Stegostoma tigrinum: one gene and its partners. The main gene of each other region encodes a partner of the protein of the gene in region 4 in a complex. Links are inferred from orthologs where the notes say so. Each region holds a gene or a part of one and is shown on either strand. Other genes may lie near its edges. The genes, in order: gar1, tert, wrap53 and nhp2.

Region 1 (8,017 bases), on a different chromosome or scaffold from region 4:
GCAGGAGGCCCATGATGGACATGTCATCAAGAGAATGGGAGGGGGAGTGGAAATGGTTTGCGACTGGGAGGTGCAGTTGTTTGTTGCGAACTGAGCGGAGGTGTTCTGCAAAGCGGTCCCCAAGCCTCCGCTTGGTTTCCCCAATGTAGAGGAAGCCGCACCGGGTACAGTGGATGCAGTATACCACATTGGCAGATGTGCAGGTGAACCTCTGCTTAATGTGGAATGTCATCTTGGGGCCTGGGATGGGGGTGAGGGAGGAGGTGTGGGGACAAGTGTTGCATTTCCTGCGGTCGCAGGGGAAGGTGCCGGGTGTGGTGGGGTTGGAGGGCAGTGTGGAGCGAACAAGGGAGTCACGGAGAGAGTGGTCTCTCCGGAAAGCAGACAGGGGAGGGGATGGAAAAATGTCTTGGGTGGCGGGGTCGGATTGTAAATGGCGGAAGTGTCGGAGGATAATGCGTTGTATCCGGAGGTTGGTAGGGTGGTGTGTGAGAACGAGGGGGATCCTCTTGGGGCGGTTGTGGCGGGGGCGGGGTGTGAGGGATGTGTCGCGGGAGATGCGGGAGACGCGGTCAAGGGCGTTCTCAATCACCGTGGGGGGAAAGTTGCGGTCCTTAAAGAACTCAAGGCCCTCCGCTTCTTCCTGTCCCGCAGGCCCGACCAGGCCCCCTCCACCGACACTCTCATCCGCCTAGCGGAACTCGTCCTCACACTCAACAACTTCTCTTTTGACTCCTCCCACTTCCTACAGACTAAGGGGGTGGCCATGGGCACCCGCATGGGCCCCAGCTATGCCTGCCTCTTTGTAGGTTATGTGGAACAGTCCATCTTCCGCACCTACACAGGCCCCAAACCCCACCTCTTCCTCCGGTACATTGATGACTGTATCGGCGCCGCCTCTTGCTCCCCAGAGGAGCTCGAACAGTTCATCCACTTCACCAACACCTTCCACCCCAACCTTCAGTTCACCTGGGCCATCTCCAGCACATCCCTCACCTTCCTGGACCTCTCAGTCTCCATCTCAGGCAACCAGCTTGTAACTGATGTCCATTTCAAGCCCACCGACTCCCACAGCTACCTAGAATACACCTCCTCCCACCCACCCTCCTGCAAAAATTCCATCCCCTATTCCCAATTCCTCCGCCTCCGCCGCATCTGCTCCCACGATAAGACATTCCACTCCCGCACATCCCAGATGTCCAAGTTCTTTAAGGACCGCAACTTTCCCCCCACGGTGATTGAGAACGCCCTTGACCGCGTCTCCCGCATCTCCCGTGACACATCCCTCACACCCCGCCCCCGCCACAAGAGGATCCCCCTCTTTCTCACACACCACCCTACCAACCTCCGGATACAACGCATTATCCTCCGACACTTCCGCCATTTACAATCCGACCCCACCACCCAAGACATTTTTCCATCCCCTCCCCTGTCTGCTTTCCGGAGAGACCACTCTCTCCGTGACTCCCTTGTTCGCTCCACACTGCCCTCCAACCCCACCACACCCGGCACCTTCCCCTGCAACCGCAGGAAATGCTACACTTGTCCCCACACCTCCTCCCTCACCCCCATCCCAGGCCCCAAGATGACATTCCACATTAAGCAGAGGTTCACCTGCACATCTGCCAATGTGGTATACTGCATCCACTGTACCCGGTGCGGCTTCCTCTACATTGGGGAAACCAAGCGGAGGCTTGGGGACCGCTTTGCAGAACACCTCCGCTCAGTTCGCAACAAACAACTGCACCTCCCAGTCGCAAACCATTTCCACTCCCCCTCCCATTCTCTTGATGACATGTCCATCATGGGCCTCCTGCACTGCCACAATGATGCCACCCGAAGGTTGCAGGAACAGCAACTCATATTCCGCCTGGGAACCCTGCAGCCATATGGTATCAATGTGGACTTCACCAGTTTCAAAATCTCCCCTTCCCCCACTGCATCCCTAAACCAGCCCAGTTCATCCCCTCCCCCCACTGCACCACACAACCAGCCCAGCTCTTCCCCCCCCCCACCCACTGCATCCCAAAACCAGTCCAACCTGTCTCTGCCTCCCTAACCGGTTCTTCCTCTCACCCATCCCTTCCTCCCACCCCAAGCCGCACCCCCAGCTACCTACTAACCTCATCCCACCTCCTTGACCTGTCCGTCTTCCCTGGACTGACCTATCCCCTCCCTACCTCCCCACCTATACTCTCTCCACCTATCTTCTTTTCTCTCCATCTTCGGTCCGCCTCCCCCTCTCTCCCTATTTATTCCAGTTCCCTCCCCCCATCCCCCTCTCTGATGAAGGGTCTAGGCCCGAAACGTCAGCTTTTGTGCTCCTGAGATGCCGCTTGGCCTGCTGTGTTCATCCAGCCTCACATTTTATTATCTTGGAATCTCCAGCATCTGCAGTTCCCATTATCTCTGAAACATATGAAGCCATTGCCTTGAATTCAATTCTTTTGAATGTCACTATTGCAAAGCCTGCAGCGCAAAATTAAATGGCGGGGGGTGTGGGGTGAGCACAATGGAAATGTAGGAGCACATAGCTTGTCGTGAAAGCCAGTTTCTGGGTCGACCCTCTGAGCAGTCGCCATGCCTGTCACAGGAAGGAGCCCAAAGATCCGATGCACTCCCGGTGCAAGAGCCACTCCGTGCAACGTGGTCCCCCGGGCAGCGCGCGGCTCCACTCACTCACCGAACCCTGGCCCAGAGATAGAATGTTACCCGGAGCACGCGCTCCTTCTTCAGCCACGTGCACTCAATCCCGGCTGCAGGGAACAAAAAACACACACACAATCCTAAACTTAACCCGCTTTTTGAGTCCTGTAAGAACCTACTACTGCCTCTGTATTACAATTCCTTGAAATTATTTTACCTTTACAAACTTCAAGGACGCCTATGACATTTCAAACCCGGATCCGCCCTCGACATTGTTCCAGGGTTTTCAATGAGTGCATTACAGAGACCGGAACTTTACGTCAGTTTTGGGACGCTTCTTAACATCCGTGACCTGCCGTATTACAGTTACCGGTCTGCGTGCCCTCTTCGCAAGCGCACGGCGCGGTGGCGCACCCTCTAGCGAGAGAGTACGAGCATTGCACCAGCAGCGAAACAATTGGGAATTACAACTGGGCACCTTTGGTTTGGCAGTTCCTGGTGGCTCATGTCATATAGCTACGTTGAAGAGCCTCCCTCAAACTGCTGAGAAATTCTTTGCAGGGAAACTTTGAGCTGAATACTTGCAGAACATTACACGTATATGGGCGAGAACAAAGAATGTCAAATGTGCTCAGGATTGAATGTGCGAAACCAATGCACCCTTATCAGAGCAAGATGTTGAGTATCCCATTCCTGACCTCATGGAAATCTTCTCCGCTAGTTCTTTGCTAAGTTTCATAATGCTCACTTCTGGAGTTCGCTTCTTTTGACCCTGTATGGGCCAAAACCTAGTTTGGAGCTGCATGACCATGGCTGAGGCCAGGCTATCAGTGAGGAGGTTATTGGTGATGAGAGATAATAGGAACTGTTGATGCTGGAGAATCCAGGATAACAATGTGTAGAGCTGGATGAACACAGCAGACCAAGCAGCATCTCAGGAGCACAAAAGCTGACGTTTTGGGCCTAGACCCTTCTTCAGAAATGGGGAAGGGGAAGGGGATTCTGAAATAAATAGGGAGAGAGGGGGAGGCACACAGAAGATGGATAGGGGAACATAGAACATAGAAAAGTACAGCACAGTACAGGCCCTTCGGACCACGATGTTGTGCCTTGGAATAATCCTAATCCAAAAATAAAATAACCTAACCTACATTCCCCTCTATTCACTGCCGCCCATGTGCACATCCAGCAGTCGCTTAAATGTCACTAATGACTCCGCTTCCACAACTACCACTGGTAAACTATTCCATGCGCTCACAACCCTCTGGGTGAAGAACCTCCCTCTGACGTCTCCTCTATACCTCCCTCCAAACACCTTAAAACTATGACCCCTCGTGGCAGTCAGTCCTGCCCTGGGGAAAAGTCTCTGGCTATCGATTCTATCCATGCCTCTCATTACCTTGTACACCTTGGTCAGGTCACCTCTCTTCCTCCTTCTCTCCAGAGAGAAAAGTCCAAGCTCAGTCAACCCTCCTCGTAAGACAAGCCCTCCAGTCCAGGCAGCATCCTGGTAAACCTCCTTTGCACCCTCTCCAAAGCCTCCACATCTTTCCTATAATAGTGCGACCAGAACTGGACACAATATTCCATGTGTGGTCTCACCAGGGTTTTGTAGACTTGCAGCAAAACCTCACGGCTCTTAAACTCAATCCCTCTGTTAATGAAAGCCAAAACACCATATGCTTTCTTAACAACCTTATCCACTTGGGTGGCAACTTTGAGGGAGCTATGCACTTGAACACCAAGATCCTGCTGTTCCTCCACACTGCCGAGAATCCTGCCTTTAATCCTATATTCAGCATTTAAGGTCGACCTTCCAAAATGCATCACTTTGCATTTATCCAGGTTGAACTCTATCTGCCATTTCTCAGCCCATCTCTGCATACTGTCAATGAAGGAGAAGATAGGTGGAGAGGAGACAGACAAGTTAAAGGGGTGGGGATGGCGCCAGTAAAGATGAGTGTGGGTGGGGATGTAGGGAGGAGATAGGTCAGTCCGGGGAGGACGGACAGGTCAAGGGGGCGGGATGAGGTTAGTAGGTCAGAGATGGGGGTGGGGCTTGAGGTGGGAGGAGAGGATAGGTGGGAGGAAGGACAGGTCAGGGAGGCGGGGATGAATTTCGCTGGTTTTCAGATGTGGTAGGGGGAGGGGGAGATTTTGAAGCTGGTGAAGTTCACATTGATACCATTGGGCTGCAGGGTTCCCAAGCGGAATATGAGTTGCTGTTCCTGCAACCTTCGGGTGGCATCGTTATGGCACTGCAGGAGGCCCAGGATGGACATGTCATCTGAGGAATGGGAGGGGGAGTTGAAATGGTTCGCAACTGGGAGGTGCAGGTGTTTATTGCAAACCGAGCAATGTTCTGCAAAGCAGTCCCCAAGCCTCCACTTGGTTTTCCCAATGTAGAAGAAGCCACACCAGGTACAATGGATACAGTATACCACATTGGCAGATGTGCAGGTGAACCTTTGCTTGATGTGGAAAGTCATCTTGGGCCTGGGATGGGGGTGAGGGAGGAGGTGTGGGGGCAAGAGTAGCACTTCCTGCGGTTGCAGGGAGAAGTGCTGGGTGTGGTGGTGTTGGAGGGGAGTGTGGAGCGCACAAGGGAGTCGCGGAGACAGTGGTCCCTCCAGAAGGCAGACAAGGGTAGGGAGGACGAGGTAGGTGGTGGGGTCGGATTGCAGATGGTGGAAGTGTCGGCGGATGATGCATTGTATCCAGAGGTTGGTGGGGTGGTACGTGAGGACTAGAGGGATTCTGGTTTGATGGTTATTACGGGGACGGGGTGTGAGGAATGAGTTGTGGGAAAAGCAGGAGACACGGTCGAGGGCGTTCTCAACCACTGCGGGGTGGATGTTGTGGTCCTTGAAGAACAAGGACATCTGAGATGTACGGGAGTGGAATGCCTCATCCTGGGAGCAGATGCGGCAGAGGCGAAGGAATTGGGAATAGGGGGTGGAATGTTTGCAGGAGGGTGGGTGGGAGGAGGTGTATTCTAGGTTGCTGTGGGAGTCAGTGGGCTTGAAATGGACATCAGTTACAAGCTGGTTGCCTGAGATGGAGACTGAGAGGTCCAGGAAGGTGAGGGAGGTTTTAGAGATAGTCCAGGTGAACTTAAGGTTGGTGTGGAACGTGTTGGTGAAGTGGATGAACTGTTTGAGCTCCTCGTGGGAGCATGAGGCGGCACCGATACAGTCATCAATGTACCGGAGGAAGAAGTGGGGTTTAGAGCCAGCGTAGCTACAGAAGAGGTATTGTTCCATGTAACTTACAAAGAGGCAGGCAAAGCTTGGGCCCATGCGGAGGCCCATATCCACCCCTTTTTTCTGCAGGAAGTGGGAGGAGTGGAAAGAGAAGTTGTTGAGGGTGAGGATGAGTTCAGCCAGGCGGATGAGGGTGTTGGTGGAGGGGGACTGGTTGGGTCTGCGGGACAGGAAGAAGCGGAGGGCCTTTAGGCCATCTGCATGGGGAATGCAGATGTATAGGGACTGGACGTCCATGGTGAAAATGAGGTGTTAGGGACCGGGGAATTGGAAGTTCTGGGGGAGGTGGAGGATGTGGGTCGCATCACGGGCATAGGTGGGGAGTTCCTAGACCAAGGGGGAGAAAATGAAGTCCAGATAGGTGGAGATGAGTTCGGTGGAGCAGGAGCAGGCGGAGACAATGGGTCGACCAGGGCAGGCAGGTTTGTGGATTTTGGGAAGGAGATAGAAGCGGGCGGTGCGGGGCTGGGGAATGATGAGGTTGGAGGCTGTGGGTGGGAGATCACCTGAGGTGATGAAGTTGTGGATGGTTTGGGAGATGATGGTTTGGTTTTCGGGGGTGGGGTCATGATCCAGGGAGCGGTAGGAGGAGGTATCGGAAAGTTGGCGTCTGGCCTCATCGATGTAGAGGTCAGTGCGCCATACTACAACTGCACCTCCCTTATCTGCAGCTTTGATGGTGAGGTTGGGGTTGGAGCGGAGGGCTGCCTGTTCTGCGGGGGAGAGGTTGGAGTGGGTGAGAGGGGTGGAGAGGTTGAGGCGGTTAATGTCTCGACGGCAGTTAGAGATGAAGAGGTCGAGGGAGGGTAGTAGGCCTGGGGGTGTTGTCCGGGAGGAGGACTTGTGTTGGAGGCGGGAGAAGGGGTCAGTAGAGGGAGGGTTGGGCTCACGGTTAAAGAAATAAGCGTGGAGGCAAAGGCGGCGGAAAAACTGCTCAATATCCAGACGCGACAGGTATTCATTGATGTGTAGTTGTAGGGGGACAAAGGTGAGCCCCTTGCTTAGGACTGACCCTTCGACCTCAGTCAGAGGGAAGTCTGGGGGCATAGTGAAGATTCGGCAGGGCTCAGTGTGGCTGTCTTCTCTGGGGTTGCTGGCTGTGGAGGCTGTGGGCGGAGCGATGAGGTCGTCAGCTGTGGGCGGGGTTCCGTCGGCGTCAGCCGTGGGCGGGGTTCCGTCGGCATCGGCTGTGGGCGGGGTTGCGTCGGCATCGGCTGTGGGCGGGGTTGCGTCGGCGTCACTGGTGGGCGGAGTTGCACCGGCCTCGGCTGTAGGCGGAGCTCCATGAGCATCAGCAGTGGGCAGAGTTGTGTCGTCGTTAGTGGTGGGCGGAGTTGCGTCCACATCCGTCATGGATGGAGCGGCGTCGGCAATGGGCAGAGCCGGGTAGGTGGTGGCAGTAGCGGTGTCGGTAATGTCTGTGGTATTGGTTTCGGAAGTGGAGGCGGTGGCTACAGCAGCGATGGTGTTTGCTGTCCCGGAAGTGGTGTTCCCGGTGGTGGCGGATGTGACGTCATCAGTGGGTATTCCGACAGTGGCGTCGTGGCCAATGTCAGTGGGCACATTGTGGGGAAGGTCCGGGTAGGGCTGGGGATTTGGGAGGTGGAGGAATCCCATTTTAGGTGGCAGGGGCCAGTGAGTTTGCTGTGCTTACGGTTTTTAGTGGCTAATGAAGCTGAGTAGAATTGTGAGTTCAGGTTGTGGATCCTACGAAGAATAAAAAACAGGAGAGGTCCTTTGCAGGTCTGGGAGAGAGAGGCTCTGAGCTGGAGTAGGCTGGATTTCAGTGCCTGGAGATGCCGGCGTATGGCTGCGAGTGTCTGTTTCAGGACTCGCAGGGAGAAACGCTTCTGAAGGGTCTCAATGTTCTGAATGTAGATATTCTCACGGCTGGGGCAAAATTGGGAAGGCTTGAATGTGGACTGTAGTCCATTGGGGATGATCTGGTTCTGTAGGCAGGTGCTGAGGAAGGTGATGTGGCTGTAGTACCTGGTTTGCTTCAGGACGTGGTCGAGTAGTTTCAAGGCCGAAGAGATTACGAGAGAGTTGCAGTGGGAGAGAGATCCCCTGAGGTTTCTCCGGAGGGTAACTTCTTCAGGTCAGGCATC
Region 2 (7,046 bases), on a different chromosome or scaffold from region 4:
TCCAAGCCACTCACTATCCTGACTTGGAAATATATTGCTGATCCTTCATGGATAATGGGTCAAAATCTTGGAACTCCCTAGTGACATTGTGGGTCTACCTACAGAACATGGACTCCAGCAGTTGAAAAAGGCAGCTCACCACCACCTTCTCAAGGGCAAGTGGGGATGGGCAATAAATGCTAGCCCCTGGGAAGTGTATTTTTATACATCTTTTGTGGAAAGGTTTTGCAATATTCAGTCCACATCTGAGCACTGTGTCAGCACAACTAATAATAAAGTATTTCTGATTCTTGACCAATAGAAAGACTGCTTGTGGCTTTTCTGCAACAACCCAACTTAGATCCTGATTTAAAAATTCTGCACTCGGGTCATTTTGTTTAGCCAGTCTCCCAGTTTTGGCTTCTGTTTGCTACTAGTGCTAGTTTCGCTGGTGTCTAAATGAACACTGTATCCCCATCACAGCCTCAGTGTATTCTTAAAACTACAGTATATTATTTTGAATAGTTGAAAGATTGAACACCCCAATAATATACACAAATTAAAGCTCTTCATCTTTAAACTAGTGTGCAATACAAATTAATGACATTCCTTATTAATGAGGTGAAATCTGAAACTTTCTTTCACTGCATATTTTGAAAATTTTTTTAACTTGAAAACCAATAAATCCTTGCAGACCTCTTAATATAATATATTAATATTAATGAAAGAAGGCCCTTTGTGACTATGTCTGAATTAATGTTGAGATCAACATGCTGTGGCATTTTTTTTCATTTGTATAGAATATGCATTTGAGAGGAATATTTTAAATATCAACTTTCGGAACCAGATTTATCTGCTTATCTAGGTATTCCATTTTGACAATGTGCATGCTAAAAAAATTTGGAAACATTAAAAAATAAACAATTTGGGACAGCAGGGAAGGATGTACACTGAGTTGGCATGTTAATAATTATGTTATCAAAATTACAGTTCTAGGCCAGGACATTGAACTGATACTAGGAAATTTACTGTTACACTTAATGGATCAGATTAAACAGAATCTGATGTTGCCATGGCCACCTGCAACTAAATTTGCTCATAACTCCTAGGTGGTAATCTATCACCAAAATTTTATTTCCAGAGGGAAAAATTTAAAAAGCAAGTAGTTCGTACAGATCCATTTCTGAATTGCATTCATAGCATAATGAACAGTTCTAGTCTTTTTGCTACAAAATAAGTATGACGTTACTGAGAAGCACATAAATGACTTACAAAAAGGATAACAGAATTTAGAGAATATATCAGGTTGAACATGATGGAGAAAAGAGGAGGCTGAGGAGAGATGGGCATTTAAAATTATAATAGGGATTCATGAGAGTAGTCTGAGAGATTCTATCTGCGAGGCAGACAAAAGTAGTGGCCATAAATGTTACTAATAAATCCATTAGGAAAGTCAAGAAAACTTTCTTCACCTGCAAAGAAAAATAATTTATTTTATAGAGTGTTCTGCCCAGCCACTGAGCACCTCAAAGCACTTTTATCACAAATTACATATTTTTGAAGTTTAGTCATCAATATGTGATATGCAGCAGCCAATTTGCACTCCCAGAAACTGGAAATGACCAGGTGATCTGTTTTTGCGATGTTGATTGAAGGATACATTTTGATTGGAACACTGAGCTAACTTTTTTCTTCAAAATTATGGCAAGCAATCATTTACTTCCACTAGAGCAGGCAGAGAGCCTCGGTTTAACATTTCATAAAAGGATGCAATCTTGCGTATGCAGCACTGCCCCAGTACTGCACTGGTGCGGCAGTCTGATTTTAATTGTGCTGAAAGGCTGGTGTGTAACCTAAATTTGGAACCATTGATTCAGATCAAGAGTGATACAAATGAGCTCCAACTCCCAGTAGTGAGTCATTAATGAAACCAAAGGGAAATTCAGGAGTGTGTTAATATCATGATCATGTTCTGACAGCATTAGACAGATGGGGAGCAGACAGCTTACTGGCACAACCTGTTGAACATTTATTAACTATTTATACTAATGTGCGGAGACATAACAGGTAAATAAATATATGAGAGTGATTAAGGGTAACTCGGTTAGTTTGATCCAAAATTGGCCTATTAGCAGGAGACAGGGTGGGGGTGGTAGAGGTAGGGACAAACCAGTGGCATACCACAGTGATCAGTGCTGGGTCCCTTATTATTTGTGATATATGAAGATGAAAATGTGGGGAAGGAGGGAGAGGATGATAAATGTGCAGATGCCACAAAGATTATTCAGTTAATTGTCAGCAAGGAAGATGGTCTTAGGTTCTGGGAGGATATAGACAGATCGGTAGAACAGTGGCAGATGGAATTTGACCCTGATAAATGTGAGGCGATGCACTTTGGAAGAAGGAATAAGATGAGGGAGTACTCCGAGACTGGCTAGATGCTAGGAAGCTCAGAGGAATCTTGAGCGTGTTTGTCTACAGATCCCTGAAAGTGGCAGGACGTATTAATGGGATTGTTAAGAAGGGATGTGGGACACTTACTGTATCAGTTGAGGCATGGAATATACGAACACAGAGTTTTGAGTTGGAGCTGTACAGAACTTTGATTTGGCCACTGCTGGAGTACTGTGTCAGCACACTATTGGATGGATATGTTTGCACTGGAGGGGTGCAGAGGAGATTCACCGGAACAGAGTCATAGAGGCTTACAGCATGGAAACAGACCATGTCCAACCAGTCCACACCCACCATGTTCCCAAAATAAACTCGTCCCACCTGCCTGGGCTAGGCCCATATCCCTTCAAACATTTCTCATTCATGTTCCTATCTAAATGTCTTTTAATCATTGTAACTGTACTCTCATCCACCACTTCCTCTGGAAGCTCATTCCACACGTGAACCACTCTGTGCAAAAAAGTCACCCCTCATGTCTTATTTAAATCTTTCTCCTCTCACTTTAAAAATATGTGCCCAAGTCTTGAAATCCCGCACCCTAGGGAAACACACCTGCCTTTCACCTTATCTATACCCCTCATGATTTTATAAACTTCTTTAGGGTTACCCCGTGATTTCCTATGCTCCGGTGAAAAATGTCCCAGTCTATCCAGCCTCTCCTTATAATTCAACCCCTCCATTCCCGGAAACATCCTGGTAAACCTTTTCTGTGCCCTCTGCAGCTTAGTAATATCCTTCTTATAACAGGGGGTCCAGAACTGGACACAATATTCCAGAAAACACCCCACCAATGTCCGACACAACCTCAAAATCATATCCCAGCTTCTGTACTCAAAAGTCTGAGCAATGAAGGCAAACATACTCAATGCCCTCTTAAGTTACATGTGATGCAAACTTCAAAGAATTATATTCCTGAACTCCTGGGTGTCTCAGTTGGACAGCACTACACTTTTAATTGTATAACTCCTGGCCTTGTTTGTTTGGTTGCCCGGGATGGAGTGCTTTAGCTGTGAGGAAAGGCTGGATAGGTTCATGGTGTTTACTTTCAAGAAGAAAAAAATTGAGGGAGGGGACAAGATAGAAGTGCATGAGGGTAAAAGGGCATGAACAGGCACCGAAACGTCAGCTTTTGTGCTCCTAAGATGCTGCTTGGCCTGCTGTGTTCATCCGGCTCCACACTTTGTTATCTCGAATAGAAAGCAGTTGTTCACTTTAGGTGAAGTGTCAGTAACAAGGTGGGGTGGGAGCGTGTGTAATTTTGAGTGAAGGCTGGAGGTTTTGAGGGGACTTTCAGGAGGAGAGACTAATCACCCAGAGCGTGATGGTAATGTGGGAGGTTAATTGAAGGGTGTAATCTCACGACCTTTTGGATGAGCATTTGAAACGTCATAACATCGAAGGCAATGGGACGAGTGTAGATTTCAGGTAGCGTTTGGCGGCAGAGACTGGATGGGCCAAGGGGGTCTCCCCTGCACTGTGCTAGTTTCTGGATCCAATGAGAGGATGGGTGGTGGGAGGAGATTGGATGCTGTGGGTCGGGCGGGAGGAAGTGCGAGCAGATTGTGATCGATGAGAAGGGGGTTGGTTGCTGAAGTCTCAGTGAGAAAGGGGTGGACAATGGAGGAGGCCAGGCTGTTCGGGCTGTTGGCCTCCGTCTATCCCTCCGTGCGCCGCCTGCAGCAGTTCGTTGCGGAGATCAGCGAAGCGGCAGGAGTCGCGCCGCCGGCTTTGCTGGAAAGCAGCGACAGCGGGCACTACCGGCGCTTCATCTCCCAGCTCATCGTGTGTGTTCCCGGGGAGGCAAAGGCTGTGTGCCGGCCGCTCACCTTTCAGCAGGTACGGGGCTAGGCAGACAGCTCCCGGCAGCACTAAAGCGCCCGGCACCTTCCGGAGCCGAAGTGCCGTTGCTTTATGTACAGGGGCACATTTGGGGAATAACAAGCCGGAGAGGCTCGGAACGGCGCAAAACCCCCCCGATCCCAGGCCATGTTTCTGCGCTAGGGCTTCCTGAAATTCAGCGCCGGATTTACGCAGCGCGCAATCTTAAGGGTAAAAAGGCATTTCGTATGCACCACGTTCACGTTTTTCTAACACCCTCCCCAAAAGTAAAAGTTGAGTCAAAGGGGGATTTGGCGCGATTAACGTTGACACTATTCCCCCCCATACCCCGTGTCTCTAGGCAGCATGCTGTGAAAACTCACTCAGTTTCCAGCTGTACTCCTCACCACCTCCCCCACTTCTCCACTCCCCCCCCCCCCCCCCCGCCAGGTTAGAGGTGGTCTCGGCTGTTCGGTCCAACCCAGGCTGAGCAGAAATCCCCACCACTTTAAACATTAAGTCAGCAAAAACCTTCCTTTAAAGTCTCCGTTGCAATCTCCATTCTGTATTCACCAACTACACTAAAAAAAAGCAAGGAAGTGCTGGAGAAACTCTGTCGGCCTGTCTTTCTCTCAGTCGCTGAAGTAGGAACGAAGTCACCAAAGCAAAATACTGTAGGTGCTGGAAATGTGAAACAGAAATTGCTGGAGAAACCCAGCCAGTCTGGCACCAGCTGTGGAGAGAGGGAGAGGAAGAACAGTTATTGTTGCAAGTCCAGTTTGACTCTCTGGAATTCAGCCCCACAGTAGCGTTTGACAAGGGACCACCTGCACTCGAAACATTAACCCTGTTTCTCTCTTTGTAGATGCTACCAGATCTGCTGAGTTTCCTTTCTGTTTCTGTAGCTTTACTCCTATCACAGCGACTGTGTGAGGCTATTGCAACCTTGGGTCTATATTTCACCCAAGATGAGCTTTCAGTATTTTTTCATATTCATTCGTGGGATATGGGTGTCGCTGGCTAGGCAGCATTTATTGCCCACGTTGCTGGGGGTCTGAAGTCACATATAGGCTAAACCAGGTAAGGATGGCCTTTTCCTTCCTTAAAGGATATTAGTGAACCAGAAGGGGTTTTTCCCAACAATCGACAATGGATTCATGATATCATTAGATTCTTAATTCCAGATATTCATTGAATTCAAATTCCAACATGTGCCATGGCAGGATTTGAACCCAGGTCCCCCAAATCATTATCTGGGTCTTGGGATTAATAGTCCAGTGATAGTACCACTATGCCTTGCCTCCTTCCCCCCCCCCATCCAGACGTCAGTAAAGCTGGTATTTCCACTTTGCCCATCCCTGCATCTGTCTCAGCTCCTCTTGCTGCCTCTTATCTATGCCATTGTTACACAACCTCCTGACGATTCCACTCCTGCTTCATCTCCCACATCACCTTCAGTGAACTTCAGGTGGTCCAAACCTCCACTGTATCTACTAACATATACCAAGTACCAGTCACACACTACACCTAAGCCATGTGACCTAAATTTGTTTGACATTTCAGGTCAGGACCCTTCTTCAGACCCGAAACATCAAACTTTCCTGCTCCTCTGATGCTGTTTTGTCTGCTGTGTTCATCCAGCTTCACACCATGTTATCTCAGATTCTCTCTCATTGGCAGTTCCTACTATCTCTGACCTAAATTTGTTTTTGATTAAACAATGCCAGCCTTCTGCAGGATGATTGACCAGGTGATGGTGGGGAGGACATGGCCTAGTGGTATTGTTACTGGACTGCTAGTCCAGAGACTCGGCTAATGTTCTGGAGACCTGGGTTTGAATCCTGCCATGACAGATGGTGGAACTTGAATTTGATTTCTAAAAAAAATAGGAATTAAGAGTCTGATGATGACCACGAAGCCATTGTCAATTGTAGGGAAAAACCCATCTGGTTCACTAACAACTTTTAGGGAAGGAAACTTGTCCTTACCTACATGTAACTCTTAGTTGCCCTCTGGACAATTGAGAATGGACAAATGCTGGTCTAGCCAGCAACACCCTCATCCTGTGGATGCATTTAAAGAAGGTGTGTCCTGCTTTTAACAGGTGGTGAGGTTACGCCAGAATTAGCTGGCAATCTCATTTCAGTTCACCACAATGAGAATTACTGCAACTCGGAGATGGCATTCAATATAGATTCAAGATGCCACAGATACATATGAACAAGGAACAGGAGGAATTGAGTTTAAGAGCCTTGATGTTATGCTGCAGCTCTATAAAGCTCTGGTTAGACTACACTTGGAATATTGTGTTCGGTTCTGGTCAGCTCATTATAGGAAAGATGTGGAAGCTTTAGAGAGGGTGCAGAGGAAATTTACCTGGAGGCTGCCTGGACTGGAGGGCAGGTCTTATGAGGAAAGGTTGAGAGAGCTAGGGCTTTTTCCATTGGAGTGAAGAAGGATGAGAGGTGACAGAGGTTTACAAGATGATGAGAGGCATAGATAGAGTGGATAGTCAGAGACTTTTTCCCAGGGCAGAAATGCCTATTACAAGTGGGCATAATTTTAAGTGATTGAAGGAAGGTATAGGGGAGATATCAGGGGCAGGTTCTTCACACAGAGTGGTGGGCGTGGGGAATGTGCTGCTGGTAATGGTAGTGGAGTCAAATACTTTAGAGACTTTTAAGTGACTCTTGGATAGGCACATGGAGGATAGTAAAATGTAGGGTATGCAGGATTGAATGATCTTAGAAGGATAATAGGTCAGCACAAAATCGTGGGCCGAAGGGCCTGTACTG
Region 3 (7,520 bases), on a different chromosome or scaffold from region 4:
ATTTGATCCTGTCTTGACAGCAGACATATTTATCCACTGCCAATCACCCAGTCTCAGTAATTCACACCTCCCTATTCAATCTCTTTGTCGCATGTTTTCTCTACTCAGTCTTTAAAAGAGCCATCAAGTTAATTGCCCTTCCCTCCTCTTTCTTGGCATGATCCTGCAACTTTTCCCTTTAAGCGGTCACTGAATTCTCTTTTCAAAGCTGCTACTGAATTTACTTCTACTGCCCTTTCAGGCAGTGTGTTTCAGATCACCATAGCTTGCTGCACTAAAGGTAAAAATTATCTGCGCTCTGTTTCCATTCACAATTATCTCTATTCGATGTCCTGTGATTTCGTGCATCGCAAACAATTTTTCTACCCACATCCATGATTTCAAACACCTCTATTCAATATCTCCTGAACCTTCCCCGTTCTCAGGAGAACGAGACCAGCTTGTTCAGTCTTTCCACATCACAAACATCTTCTCTAAGGCCTTGAAATTGCTCATAAAGCGTGGTGCCTAGAATCAGACTGAATTAATATGCTTCATAAGTTCTTTGCTTTCCCACTCTATTACACTATTTATGACTCATTGATCTGAAATGCTGCTCTTATTATAATGGAAAATGTTATTGCACAGCAGTTACTCCTTTGCTGGTATTACCAACTGGGCAACCTAGGAGCTTATCCTCCATTTACAAACGAAACAGAACTAAACAAAATGTTAACTTTTTAATAAGAATTATTAATTGTAACAACTTAATTTTTAAAAAAGGGTTACAATTCGTCTTTAGAATCAACTGGAGTTATATACAAATGTTTCGATCAGTACAGTATTTTTAAAAAATCAAAAATATATTGTACCCTTATCGGTCTGGAGAGTGCTGTAAAATATACAATATACATCCATATTTACACGTATTTTAACATATTTAATAGGCATCCCAATAATCCACCATCGGTTAAAATCCTGGACATTTGTGGGTATTGCAGGTTTAACTTTGCTGTAAGGATGCCATTGTGTCAGCTTGCAACTGAAAGGAGCTGACCTGGCCTTCACTGTCTGTGGGACGACAGTCTGGAGGAAGCCCAGTATGGCTTGGAGAACGTTTCTTTGGTCGAAGAAGGAATGTCACCTGACACCACAAACTGTGGGGCATGATTACACACCCAGTTCCTTGACTTTTGCAAATTTGAGCTTTGGTGGAGTCTTCCTCTTGGTTTTCATGGGATCATCAGTGTTCCTGATGGTTTTGTACAATTCGATTGCATGTGAAGTCACAAAAATCATCCAGAAAATGTGCGAAAGCAGACGTGTGATGAGCCCAAACCATTCCAACACACGCACACTGCTTGGGAACCAATTTTGATCAGGCAGTGACAAACTCAGGAGGCTAATCTGTAAAATCTCATATAAGAATATCCAAATGATGTAGCCTGCCACTCCCCAGAACACCTCCTTCCAGATAGATACGAAAAAGAGAATAATTGCGATCAGAGTGAGACAGACAAAGATAATTGATATGATGCTGTATATTTGAAGTCGGGAAATTTGATTCACGGAGCTAGGAATAACCTGAGGCCTCAAGTAACGAAAATGCCCCGCTTCAAAAATGAGCTGCATGATGGATACCATCAACATGAACAGTCCAGCCACAATACTTCCTTCTTTGGCGTTCAACCCACACAAATTTCCAGATTTCAGTTTTCTCAATCTGTTGCGCAAGCTACGAATGTTCAGCATTTCGTTTCTTGGTGCTGTACATCCTTCTGAAAGTTGAGGGGCTTCTTTTTTTCAGCAAATTGGATCGTGAGGCAAGATAAACAGTTCACTGAAACAAATTTTACAACAAACATTGGTACAGTTGATTCCTCTTTCCTAATTTCTCCAGATCTAGAACAAGTCCAATCTGGTGCAAACTCTGTAAAACTCCTCCTTTTAAATACTCCCTATAGGACAATGACATGTAGCTACCCCAAACTGACTCAATTTGCTATAAATAGTTGTTTACAATATTAGGATTCAACAAAGTTTGAACAGGCAGGCAATGGGCCTTCCACAATCAGCCACTTGGGCCATTGGTGGAACTTGGGGAGTAGGGGGCTCTTCTCCTTCCTCGAGACGATTGAGATGCGTTAGGAGAAACCTCTTTACCCAGTGAGTGGGGAAGATATGGAACTTGATCCCACAAAAGGGGAGTTCAGCCAAATAGGAAGTCAGAGGAGTACATGAAGGAGAACACAATAGAAGGGCATGTCTGTAGGATAAGACAAAAGAGGCCGTAATGGAGGATAAATCAGCAACACAAACCAATTGTGTTGAATGGGCTGGTTTGCCTTCTAATTATTCCTGAACTGAGGGGAAGCAATATTTAGGAGGAACAAACGTGATATAGCTTTCAGCTATGAAATGTGTCCTTTCAGAGACTTTTTTTTCCTGTTTTGCATACAGCCTACAGTGGCACAATGTATGTCTGCAACTCAATGCTTTAATAGTCAGACAATTCACAAACTGAAAAAAAATTGTGAAGGTCCAGCAAATCTAAAAAAAAAATTCTATCTCCCAAACTATGAATACTGAAGATATATCTGAAAGCTAATATTCCAGACATCCTCAGATGAATAAATAGAAACATAAATCCACAGATCCCACATTTTTCACAGGCCCAGTACACTAAAAGCAAGTTTCCAAACTCCTCCAAAAATCCTATCATCCTCCAAACTATTAATAACCCTGACATGATTTAAATTATGAAATCCAGATATCCTTGTAACTACTGTTGGACCAGACGTATCAAAAATATAATTCCATGCATCCTCCAAACTGTGAAGAGTCCAGGTATTCTCAAAATTCTTTCAAAACAATTATTCATTCTTGCACAACTCTGAAATTTGTATATAGACCAAAATTCTCTTAAATTTATAAGATCTCCAAAATTGATGAGAATCCAGATATCCCTCAAACTTGCAAAGATTCAAGTAGGATATAACAAGAACTGCAGATGCTGGAGTCAAAGTCAATACAGCGTGGAGCTGGAGGAACACAGCAGCTCAGGCAGCATCAGAGGAGGAGGAAAGTCAACATTCTGGATCATCAGGATTGATGAAGGGTCCTGAACCGAAACGTCAACTTTCCTGCTCCTCTGATGCTGCCTGACCTTCTGTGTTCCTCCAGCTCCACACTGTAAAAATTCAAATATCCCTCCCGTGACATCCCTCTGTGCCTGTAGCTAATTCAGGGCACAAGTCAGAAGTCCAAAGGAACACTCTCCAATTATCTGAAAAAGATGCAGCTCCAACAACCCTCAAAACTTCACACCATCCAGGTCAAATCAATCAATTTGATTAGCAACGCTCATAACACCTGTGTCAAACCATCATTATCCAACTACCATTGGTTCACCTGTGCCCAAACTACATTGGTCCATGTGTCCAAATTACCATTAGTCTACTTGTACCCAAGTCATCATTGGTCAAAATACCATTGGTCCACCTACGCACAAAGCATTTATTGGTCCATCTGTGACCCAAAGCCATTATTAATCTACCTGTTTCAAAAGCATCATTGGTCCAACTACCATTGGTCCACCCATGCCCTCAAATCATCACTGGTCCACTTATACCCCTAAACCACCATTGCCCATCTGTGCACCCAAACCCACTATTGGTCCAAATGGCATCAGTCCACAAATGCTCAACCACCATTGGCTGACCTGCACCCAAACCACCACTGGTTTACCTGTCCCAAAAGCACTATTGGTCCTTCTGTCCGCAACCACCATTGGTCCACCTGTACCCCCCAAACTACCACTGGCTCACACTTCCCAAAAGCACTATTTGTCTGACCAGTTGTGGTTACCTGAGCTCAAACACCATTGGTCTACCGGTCTCTAAAGCCCCATTAGTCTAACTTGCATTGGTCATTTTGCGCTCAACCATCAGTGGTCCACCTGTATCCCCAATTCACCATTGGCCCCTCTGTACCCCATATCCACCATTTGTCCATGTTTGTCCACAAGCCCCCAGCGGTCTATTTGTATCCCCAGACTGCTATTGGTTCATCTGCATCCCCAAAACATCATTGGTCCATTTGTATCCAAAACACCATTGGTACACCTGTATTCCAACAGCTATCGTTGGTCCACCCAAAGCACTATTGGCCCAACCACCATTTATCCACGTCCCCCATTTCCCCCTGTACCTGACCCACAATCGGTTCACCAGTTCCCCGGACCATCATCGGTCCGATGGTATCCAAGCCTCTCAGCGTACCAATTGCCGCCGGCCGCAAGACTCGCCGTTTATTTTTGGCCTCTTGAGCTCTTTGGGGCCTAGCGCCATTTTCAGTACTCACGTTCCCCCCCACCGGTTCGGTTGCCATGGCAGCGGCCCCGCCCCCGCCTCAGTGACGTGTTTTGAATTTCCCGCGCCGCTGCCCAACGGCCCCCATCCCACCGCGTCTGCTCGCACGTGATCTGGCCGCGCAGCCAACCGCCATCTCCCGGAGGACGGGCTGGTTGGTCGCCACTACGCCTGCGTGGCAGCCCTGATGCGGCTCAGAAACTGCTGGAGAGACTCAGCAGCGTCTGTGGATAGAGAGGGGGAAAAAAAACCCAGAATTAACGTTTCAGGTCCAGTGGCTTTTTCTTCAAAACTCATTGTAGCTTGGAAAGGGTTGATATATATGTTAGAGAAGGAGATCGGAGTGGAGGGACTGGGTCGTGATCAGCCTGGGAGGATCTATAGCTGCTAATGGGGACAATTAATGGCTGACAGTGGGATAGTTTGTGGTAGTAGGCTGTGTGATGACAAGGCCTGGTGTGGTTTCGGGTTAGGGGAAGGTGCAAGATGCTCAGGTCTTAAGGGCAGAACCTTTAAGAGTACTACTAGGCAGTGGGATCTGGGTGTATAGGTATACAGGTCACTGAAAGTGGCAACGTGGGTGGAAAAGGTAGTCAGCAAAGCACGCTTGCCTTCTCTAGCTGGGGCATTGAGTTTAAAAATTTGCCGGTAGTGGTGCAGCTTTATAGAACCTTAAGTTTGGCTGCTTTTGGAACGTTGTTGCTTGGCCTGCTGTGTTCATCCAGCTTCACACTCTGTTATTTTGGAATATTGCGTTCAGTTTTGGTTGCCACACTAACAGAAGGATGTGGTGACTTTGGAGAAGCTACAGAAAGATTTACCAGCATGTTGCCTGGCATGGTGGGCCTGAGCTATGAGAAGAGGTTGGAGAAACTTGGGTCTTTTGCACTGGAATGTCGGTGGTTGAGGGGAAACCTGATAGAAGTCTAGGCCTGAAATGTCAGCCTTTGTTCCCCTGAGATGCTGCTTGGCCTGCTGTATTCATCCAGCTTCACACTTTGTTATCTTGGATTCTCCAGCATCTGCACTTCCCATTATCTCTAGAGGTCTACAAGATTGTGAAGGGCATGGACAGACTGGACAGTCATAAGCCATTTCCCAAGGTGGATGAGTCAGTTACCTGGGGCCAGGGGTTGAAGGTGCGAGGGGCAAGGTTTAAAGGTGATTTACGAGGCATTTTTTTTTACAGTGTGCCTGGAACTCTGCTGGGGGTGATAGTGAAAGAAGAAACTATAGTGACTCTTAAAGGGTGTCTTTACAAATATATGAATAGGATAGAGGGATAAGGTCTCTGGAAGGATAGGGGGTTTTAGTTGTGACGGGCAGCATGTCGGTGCAGACTTGGAGGGCCGAAGGACCTGTTCCTGTACTGTAATTTTCTTTGTTCTAAAATTATTGAACTTGATTTGAATGTTGGAGTAGGCATGTCTTGCTGCAGTTATATAGGACCTAAGTGAGGCCACACCTTGAGAATTATGAGCAGTTTTGGTCTGATGAAGGATGCTTTTGCTGTTGAGGAAGTCCGGCGAAGGTTCACCAGACTGATTCTCGGAATGGAGGCATTAATGAATGAAGAAAGACTGGATTGACAGGGCTTGCACTTGCTGGAATTTAGAAGAATGAAGGTTGGGGGAGGAGGTGTTCCCAAAGAAACACAAAATTGTGATGGAATTCGACAGGCTGGATGCAGGAAGAATGTTCGTGATGTTGAAGTCCAGAACTAGGGGGTCACAGCCTAAGAATAAAGGCAGAAATCGCACAACACCAGGTTATAGTTCAACAGGTTTATTTGAAGTCACAAGCTTTCAGAGTCCACCCCCTTCGCCAGATGAAGACGACAGGAAGTTTAGGGTCATTTGTTGCAGACAGACTCGAGCTATGTGCCCATGGATCCAATATTTTCCTTGTAGAAGGTTAACAGTTAGCACTTTATTTTAGGTGATCCCAGCCTCTTTCCCTCTACATAAACCTTGCCATAAACTCTCATTTTTTTTTGGTTAAAATTCAATTTTGTCTTTTGTGCTGCAATGTAAGGTAGTCACTAGGAAATCCAATGGGGAACTTGGGAGAAACATTTTTACCCAGAGAGTGGTAAAACTATGCAACTCTGTCCCAAAGGGAGTAAATTTTGCAAGTCTGGTAGTATTAGTGGGGAGAGAAACAGTTAATGTCTTGAGTCCTGTGACTTTTCTTTGAAATATGTTATGTATTTTATGGGTTATTGGACTTCTTTGAGAGTGACCATAAAATAGTAGGGTAATTAGTTTGTAATTTGGTCCATCAAGCCTGCTCTGCCATACATTAAAGTTTTGATTTGACTTTATCCCTTGTCCCCTTTTCCCTCCCCATCCCCAAATAACCTGAATTCCAATTGTGAAGTCAAAGACCATAGAAACAGACCCTTCAGTCCAACCAGTCTGTGCAGACTATAATCCCAAACTAAACTAGTCCCACCTGCCTGCCTTGGTCTATATCCTTCCAAACCCTTTCTTTTTAATGTACTAATCGAAATGTCTTTTGAATGATGTAACTGTACCTGCATCAACCACTTCCTCTGAAATTCATTCCACATATGAGCCACACTGTATATATTTTTTTAATAAAGCTGCCTTTTGCATCCTTTTAAATATTTCCCCTGTTGCCTTCAACATATGAAATCTCCCAAAATAGGGAAAAGACACCTGCAATTCACCTTAACTATACCCCTCAAGATGTGTAGAAAACGTTATGATCATGTGCCTTCATTATTTCACCAAAACATACCTCTGAACCTGCAAAGAGACATTAGTTAAGGCTTTGAGGTTTCACATTCCACAATAGAAACAGCACATCAAACAAATAATCCCTTAAAAGGAAATAAAAACAGATCTTGTTGGAAAAGCTGAGCAAGTCTGGCAGAATGGATGGAGAGAAATCAGAGTTAGTGTTTCAGCTCCTTAGACCCTTCCTCAGAACATAAAAAGGCCTGGGATGGATGTGAGGAGACTTGTACTTTCTGAATTGAATCTGGGGATGCAGAGTTTGCATCCATGACCACAGAGGGTGCTGTGATTTGGCTGCTCAGGCATCCATATAACTAGACCCCAACAGAGTTCAGTTAAATTGGCAAGAAAACTCCATACAATGCAACATAAAACACTCATTTTGAAACAATTGCAGCCTTGCATCCAG
Region 4 (7,740 bases):
CACTGTGAAAACCCCAGTAATATTAATGAATAAAATATTCACAGCAAAACAAATAACTGCAGATGCTTGAGATCTGAAATAAAAATTGTTGGAGAAACTCAGCAGGTCTATTAGCATGCAGAGTTAATGTTATGCATCCAGTAAGCGTTCGTCAGAACTGATTTACAGTGTTGAGTACTGGGAGAAGAGATGGAACTCAGTAATATTAATCCCATTGAATGCAAATGGGAACTGGTTAGATAATTCCACATTGCCATCTGGTTGCCAGCATTGTATCAATAATAGAACAGCTTGGCTACAGGCATGGCAATTTCAATAGGATAAACCTGCAGCACTACAATTAGGATGTCAGGGATAGTGGTGATATCGTTGAATTAAATCTAAATCACTGGACTGATAATTCAATCACCACAGGAGTTGGATCTTTTAAGTCTCTTAATAAATCTAAAGGATAAAATGACAAGCTGGTTTCAGTAATCATGATCATATAATGACTGACATTTATTAAATTCTTTCTGGCTGCCTACTGTCCCTCGAGGAAGGAAAACAATCCCCCTACCAGCCTCACTTACAGGCAACACATAGCAATGCATTTGACTCTCAATTGCTGTCTGAAATAGCTAAACAATTCACTCAATTGGATTAGTCCACTAAAACTTTATCACCTCCATAATTGGAATCTTTTGTTCACATCATACCGAGGTGTGAACCATACACTACTATTTAAAAAAACCCAAAAGAACTGAGGATGATGGAAATCAGAAAGAAACTGCTGGAAAATCTCAGCAGGTCTGGCAGCATGAGTGGAGAGAAATCCCAGTTAATGTTTCAGGTCCAATGACCCTTCTTAAGAATTGAGTATTGTCAGTTTTGTTTCTGTCACACAGCCAAACTGACAGCTCAGTTCTGAGGCCAACAGATTAGATGTACAAGCATCGACTAAACTGAATCCTCTCATTTTCTTCCTGGGGCTCGTGGGTGGTTGTCACTTGCTGCAATCCCAAAACAAAATATCTCAGGTAGCGAACTGAAATGGTGGATGAAAAATGACAAATTCACATCTGTTACTTTGTAGGACAATGTGTTAGTAGAGAGCTTGCATTCAAAGAATTACGAATTAAAAATGTATAACAATAATTCCTCTTTGTGCTGCATCAGAGAACAGATACATTATACTCACCCTTTCTCCCCCTTGTTGATGAATTTCTGAACTTCCTTTACTCCTCGGCGAATCTGTTTCACTTTTGCTGCTGCAGACAAAAATGGAAATTTACAATGAGATGTTGTGAAATATTTTGAAGTTTCCAAGCAATGTGTAACAACCATATTCTCCCCACCACTTACTTTGTCAAATACAAATCTTTATCTCAACAAAATCAGAAGCTGCTCCAGAAAAAAAACTGTACAACCAAATTAAAGAGATTATTAATAGAAAATAAAAGTTGGAAACATTCTGCAGATCAAGCAGCATCTGACAAGAAACAGAGGTAATGTTTCAGATCTATGAACTATTATCAGAACTGGAAAAAGTTGAAGACTTAATAGATTTTAAGCAAGCACCTCCAGGAAAAGAGAAAGCAGAGAAGAACAAAAGGGAAGGTCTGAGATTGGGATGGAATGGGGGGGGGGGGGCATTAAATAATAATGTAATATGCAAGGCAAAAGTGGCAGGAAGTATTTAATTCTTTCACAGAATGTGGGTGTCGCTAACCAGGTTAGCTTTTGTTGTCCATTCCTAATTTCCCTTGATGGAATGTTCTGCCATGTTATTGCAGAGGACAGTGAAGTGTCAACCACACAGTTATTGGTCTGGAATCACTGCACGTAAATATGGCAGACTCTCTTCCCTGAAGGACATTTCCGAACCAGATGGATTTTGAATAGGAGTTCTAGAGACACCAGTTGAGGTTAGCTTTTAAATCTAGCTTTATTCATAAAATTCCACCAGCTGCCACGGTGGGATCTGAATCCATGTTTCCAGAGCATTAGCCTCTAGCTAAAGTCCAATAACATTACCAAAATGCCACCACTTCCTCTAGATGTGACAAACAAAGGAACAAAAGATGAACCTGGAGAATGTGCATGTGGCAATAGCAAAACCTTGGCAAGAGTTGCATGCAGTAATTACATTCTGAAATCACTGAAGTCAATGTTAGGAAGTCTAGAACATAAGATGTTTTTTACTAAACTGTAGCCGTTTCAAACTATACCAAAACTGACTAGTGACAGGCGTTTGATTTAATGCAGAAATCAAGATCAGACGGGGAAGGGGGGGAAGAGATGGGGACGTGTGAGGGAAATAGAGACAAGGACAGGAAGAAGAGATAGACACAAAGAGGAAGATAAAGGAAAGTGTAGAGCTGTGAAAGCTTTCAGAGCCGAGTTACACCTGGATTTGGATTATCTGAAAGAGAGGAATGTGCACGGTGGGTATGGGGAAAGAGTGGCACTGGGCGCATTGCAGCCTCAAAGGACCAGCACAGACACTACTGGCCGAATTACCTTCACACGTAGTGCAACTACCCTGAGCTAACAGTCCTACGGCAGAGGCATGAAGAGTTTTGTTCATGGGCCTGGGGTCGATGATGCAGACCTTCCCCCACACCGCTTCCCCGCCAAATCTTTACCTTTCTTCACGCATTTGTACAGCTTCTTGCTCAGTTTCCTAGAGGCCAGCGGCTGCGCGATGTCGTTCACATTGGCCACCAACTCCTCGTAGGTTTTCTCCGTCTCCTCGTACTGAGGCCTGTCGGCCTTTTCCTTCTTCACTTTGGGGGACTTCATTCTCTCCCAGTCTCCGCTGCAGCGCCGTCACCACATGGCAACGGCAGCCCACTTCCGGGAAGTGACGTGAGGCTGAAGCCCGCCCCATTCCTGGCCGTCAGGCTGGGCTGCCATGGCAACGACAGATAACAAGGTGTAGAGTTGGGTGAACACAGCAGGCCCAGCAGCATCAGAGGCGCAGGAAGGCCGACGTTTCGGGCCTAGACCCTTCAGAAAAGGGCCGAAACGTCAGCTTTCCTGCTGCTAAGATGTTGCTTGGCCTGCTGTGTTCATCCAGCTCTACACCTTGTTATCTCAGAATCTGCAGGTCCTACGATCTCCTGGCAACGACAGCCCACTTCCGGACAGTGACGTCATACAGACCCCGCCCCTACTGGTCTGCCGATCAAACCGGCAACGGTCACCGTGGCAACGGGATACCTTAACGCTCTCAGGATGGAAATTAACCGAGTTTACAGAGGCCAGTTGTTTTCCTTAGAGCTGAGAAAATTGATTACGATGCATATTATTACTATGGACATAGGATAGGAAGAAACTTTGCCTTTGGTGGTGGGATTAATGACCAGGGACATCGATTTGAGGAACGGCGCAGGAGGTTTGGAGGAGATGTGAGGAAATGAAAACGAAGGGAAATCTGGAACTCACTGTCTGTAAGCGTGGAAACGGCTGACACCTTCATAATATTGAAAAAGAAGTTAGATGTGAACTTGCGAGGCCGGGGCATAAGTTGCTGTGGACCAAGAGCTGGAAAATGAGACTGGGATAGTTAGGGATAACACTGTGTGGAGCTGGAAGAGCACAGTAGGCCGGGCAGCATTAGAGCAGGAAAGTTGACGTTTTGGGTCGGAACCCTTCTTCAGAAATGAGAAGCGGGGAAAAGAGACAATAGACAATAGGTGCAGGAGTAGGCCATTCGGCCCATCGAGCCAGCACCACCATCATTATGATCATGGCTGATCATCTACAATCAGTATCCTGTTCCTGCCTTATCCCCATAACCCTTGATTCCAAATCGACACCTTCCCCCAAGCGCCACCCATAAACATTGACACTTTCCCCCAGGATACCCCCTGTAAACATTGACACTTTCCCCCAGGCTACCCCCTGTAAACACTGACACTTTCCCCCAGGCACTCACTTCTAAACAGCGACCCCTTCACCCATGCACCCACCTGTAAACTCTGACACTTACCCCATGCACCCCCTGTGAACACTAACACTTTACCCCAGGAGCCCACAGTAAACACTGACACACTCCCCCAGGCACCCCCTTCGAAACAGTATCCCCTTCCCCCAGGTCCCACCATGTAAACACTGATGCCTACCCCCAGGTCCACCCATGTAAACACTGACACCTACCAGAGCTGGGAAATAAAAAGCAATACTGCAGTCAGTGTGGAGCTGGGGGAACACAGCAGGCCAAGCAGCATCAGAGGAGCAAGTAAATAAGAGTAAAGAACAATACAGCACAGGAACAGGCCCTTCGGCCCTCCAAGCCTGTGCCACCACATTTTGCCTTTCCATGCTAAAACCGTCTTCACTTACAGAATCCGTATCCCTCTATTCCCTTCCTATTCATTTTTCATCCAGGTGCTGTTGTCTGCTTCCACCATCTCCTCTGGCAGCACGTTGCAGGCATTCACCACCTTTGTGGGAAAAACTTACCTCGCACATCTCTTTTAAGCTCCCCCCCTCCCACCTTGAATCTGTGCCCCCTAGTAATTGACCCCTGCATCCTTGAAAAAATGCCTCATATATGCCACTCTATCCATGCCATTCACAATCTTATAAACCTCTGTCATGTCACCCCTCAACCTCCTGCATTCCAGTGAAAACAAACGCAGCCTAGCCAACATTTGTTCACAGCCAAAATCCCCTACAGTAGGCAACATCCTGGTTAACCATTTCTGTATTCTTTCCAAAGCATCCACATCCTTCTGGCAGTATAGTGACCAGCACTGTGCGCAATATTCCAAGTGTGGCCTAACTAAAGTTCTATAAAGCTGCAGCATAACTTGTCTATCCTTATACTCAGTGACCCATTCAATGAAGGCAAGCATGCCATGAGCCTTTTTTAGTACCTTATGTACCTGAGCTGCCATCTTCAGTGATCTGTGGACTTGTACACCCAGAACACTCTGCATACCAATACTCCTCAGGATTCTGCCATTCGCTGTGTATTTTCCGCCTGTGCTTGACCCTCTAAAATGCATTACCTCACATTTGTCCAGATTAAACCCCATCTGCCATTTTTTTGCCCATGCCTCCAACTAATCTATATACTGCTGTATCCTCTGACAATCCTCCTCACTATCCACAAATCCATCAATCTTTGTACCATCCACAAACTTACTCGTTAGACTCGCTACATTTTCCTCCAAATCATTTATGTAGATAACAAGCGGACGTCCTAGCACTGATCCCCATGGAACATCACTAGTCACACCTTCCATTCTGAAAAACATCCTTCCACCACTGCCGTCTATCTCCAAGAACTAAGCCAGTTCTGTATCTGTCTTGAGAGCTCTCCCGTGATATCATGTGACTTCACCATTTGTACCAGTCCATCATGAGGGCCTTGTCAAAGGTTTTACTATAGTCCATGTAGACAACATCAATCCACTTTTTCCTCATCAATTACCTTTGTCACTTCCTCAAAAAACTCGGTCAGATTAGTGAGACATGATTTCTTGCATTCAAAACAATGCTGTCTATCGCTAATAAATCCACTCGCTTCTAAATGCTTCTAGATCTTGTCCCTAAGAATCTTTTCCAATAATTTCCCTATCACCAACATGAAAGTCACTGGCCTGTAATTTCCAAGAATATCCCTGCTACCTTTCCTAAACAATGGGACAACATTGGCTATTCAGCAGGGATAATAGGAACTGCAGATACTGGAAAATCCGAAATAACAAAGTATGGAGCTGGATGAACACAGCAGGCCAAGCAGCAACTTAGGAGCACAAAAGCTGACACTTCGGGCCTGGACCCTTCATCACCCCATCCCCCTTTTCTGATGAAGGGTCTAGGCCCAAAACGTCAGCCATTGGCTATTCTGCAGTCCTCTGGGACCTCACCTGTGGCCAAAGAGGATACAAAGATGTCTGTCAATGATCCAGTAAGTTGTTCTCTTGCCTTCCTCAATATTCTGAGATAGATCCCATTAAGACCCAGGGACCTATCTACCTTAATACATTTTAAGATGCACAACACCTTGTTCCTTTTTAACAGCAACTTGGCTTAGAAACTTGACACTCCCTTCCCTGAGAGAGATAATAGGAACTGCAGATGCTGGAGAATCTGAGATAACAAGGTGTGGAGCTGGATGAACACAGCAGGCCAAGCAGCATCATAGGAGCAGGAAAGCTGACGTTTCAGGCCTATCATCATTCACCAGTTTCTTCTCTTTGGTGAATACCGACACAAAGTATTCATTTAGGACTACACCTACCTCTTCTGACTCCACACACAGGTTCCCTCCTTCTTCCTTGAGTGGGTTAACCTTCCCCTGGCTACCCGCTTGCTTTATATATTTATTAAGCCTTGGGATCCTCCTTAATCCTGCTTACTGATGACATTTCATGACCCCTTTTAGCCCTTCTGATTCCTTGTTTAAGTTCTTTCCTTATATACTTCAAGGGCTTCATCAGTTCCATCCTCCTAGACTTTATGTATGACTCCTGTTTCTTTCTGACATTATAACATCCCTGGTCATCCAAGGTTCATGTAACTTGCAATACCTACCCTGCACTCTTACAGGACCGTGCTACTCCTGAACTCTTATCAACTACCGTTTGAAATACTCCCACGTGTCCAATGTGGATTTACCCTCAAACAGCTGCCTCCAATCAACATTCTCCAGTTCCTGCCTAATATTGTTGTAGATTGTCTTCCCCCAACTTAACACCTTCACCCAAGGACTGCTGTTATTGCTATTCACTTCTCTGCTATCTCTTAGAGTAGTTAGGTGCTTGTTTCTGATCAGTACAGACCCAATAGGCCAAAGGGTCTTTTCTATGCTATAAAGCTCTGTGGTTCTTTGGCATTCATGAGAAAGCTCTCTGTGAAAGTACTTTATGACATTGATTACAGGTTACATTTATTATGTGTTTTGAAAATGTTTTCATTAAAGAGTGCATTGTGGCTCTTTTTAACAATTCTCTAAGAGAGACAAGTGTTATGAAATGAGAATAGAATGTAGTTTTTTCAATAATGGCAGCTGGTGATGGAATGGAGTTCAGCAGGGGACTGTGTTGGGACCACAAATATTCATATTTTCCATCAACGATCTGAACGAAGGAACTGAGGGCATTATTACTAATTTTGCAGATGATACAAAGATTGGTGGAGGGACATGTAATAGAGTAGACTATTTTCTAAATGGGAAAGGCTTCAGAAATCTGGAGCACAAAAGGACTTGGGAGTCCAAGTTCAAAATTCTCTTGAGGTCAACATGCAGGTTCTGTTGGCCATTACGAAGGCAAATACAATGTTAGCATTCATTTCAAGAGATACAAGAGCAGAAATGTACTGCTGAGGGTCTAGTCAGACCACATTTGGAATATTGAGGTTTTGGGTACCATATCTAAGGATGTCTGTACTAACCTTGAGAGGAGGTCCAGAGGAGTTTTACAAGAATACTCCTGGGGATGAAGGACTTATCACACGAAGACTCTGGGTCAGTAATCAATGGAGTTTAGGATGAAGGGAACTCTGATTAAAAGTTACAGAATACTGAAAGGCCTGGATAGAGTGGACATGGAGAAGATGTTTCCACAAGTATGTTTTCCACAAGAGACTAGGACCTGAGAGCACAGACTGAGTGAAGGCATAACCCTGAGATGAGGAAGAATTTCTTCAGCCAGAGGGAAGCTAGTCTGTGGAAGCCAAGTGATTGAGTATATTTAAGAGAGAGATACATAGGTTCTTGATTGTAAAGGGCCAAGCGTTATG

What was found.
Region 1: nhp2 (region 4) and gar1 share a complex: the UniProt entries of both Homo sapiens proteins name them as parts of the H/ACA small nucleolar ribonucleoprotein (H/ACA snoRNP) complex. The link is inferred for Stegostoma tigrinum from reciprocal best matches to the Homo sapiens genes NHP2 and GAR1.
Region 2: nhp2 (region 4) and tert share a complex: the UniProt entries of both Homo sapiens proteins name them as parts of the telomerase holoenzyme complex. The link is inferred for Stegostoma tigrinum from reciprocal best matches to the Homo sapiens genes NHP2 and TERT.
Region 3: nhp2 (region 4) and wrap53 share a complex: the UniProt entries of both Homo sapiens proteins name them as parts of the telomerase holoenzyme complex. The link is inferred for Stegostoma tigrinum from reciprocal best matches to the Homo sapiens genes NHP2 and WRAP53.

The regions. Positions count from the first base shown.
Region 1 is NC_081354.1:61,441,185-61,449,201, reverse strand, and holds the start of gar1 (H/ACA ribonucleoprotein complex subunit 1), read right to left. Parts: upstream 3,014-8,017; 5' UTR 2,864-3,013; intron 2,757-2,863; 5' UTR 2,684-2,756; intron 1-2,683. UniProt on the Homo sapiens protein: Required for ribosome biogenesis and telomere maintenance. Part of the H/ACA small nucleolar ribonucleoprotein (H/ACA snoRNP) complex, which catalyzes pseudouridylation of rRNA.
Region 2 is NC_081355.1:13,889,975-13,897,020, reverse strand, and holds the start of tert (telomerase reverse transcriptase), read left to right. Parts: upstream 1-4,039; 5' UTR 4,040-4,050; coding exon 4,051-4,269; intron 4,270-7,046. UniProt on the Homo sapiens protein: Telomerase is a ribonucleoprotein enzyme essential for the replication of chromosome termini in most eukaryotes. Active in progenitor and cancer cells. Inactive, or very low activity, in normal somatic cells.
Region 3 is NC_081398.1:3,819,510-3,827,029, reverse strand, and holds the start of wrap53 (telomerase Cajal body protein 1), read left to right. Parts: upstream 1-4,511; 5' UTR 4,512-4,618; intron 4,619-5,047; exon of another isoform or gene 5,048-7,520. Other genes in the region: transmembrane protein 217-like, read right to left, coding at 1,150-1,731. UniProt on the Homo sapiens protein: RNA chaperone that plays a key role in telomere maintenance and RNA localization to Cajal bodies. Specifically recognizes and binds the Cajal body box (CAB box) present in both small Cajal body RNAs (scaRNAs) and telomerase RNA template component (TERC).
Region 4 is NC_081376.1:48,796,234-48,803,973, forward strand, and holds the start of nhp2 (H/ACA ribonucleoprotein complex subunit 2-like protein), read right to left. Parts: upstream 3,013-7,740; 5' UTR 2,785-3,012; coding exon 2,628-2,784; intron 1,251-2,627; coding exon 1,181-1,250; intron 1-1,180. UniProt on the Homo sapiens protein: Required for ribosome biogenesis and telomere maintenance. Part of the H/ACA small nucleolar ribonucleoprotein (H/ACA snoRNP) complex, which catalyzes pseudouridylation of rRNA.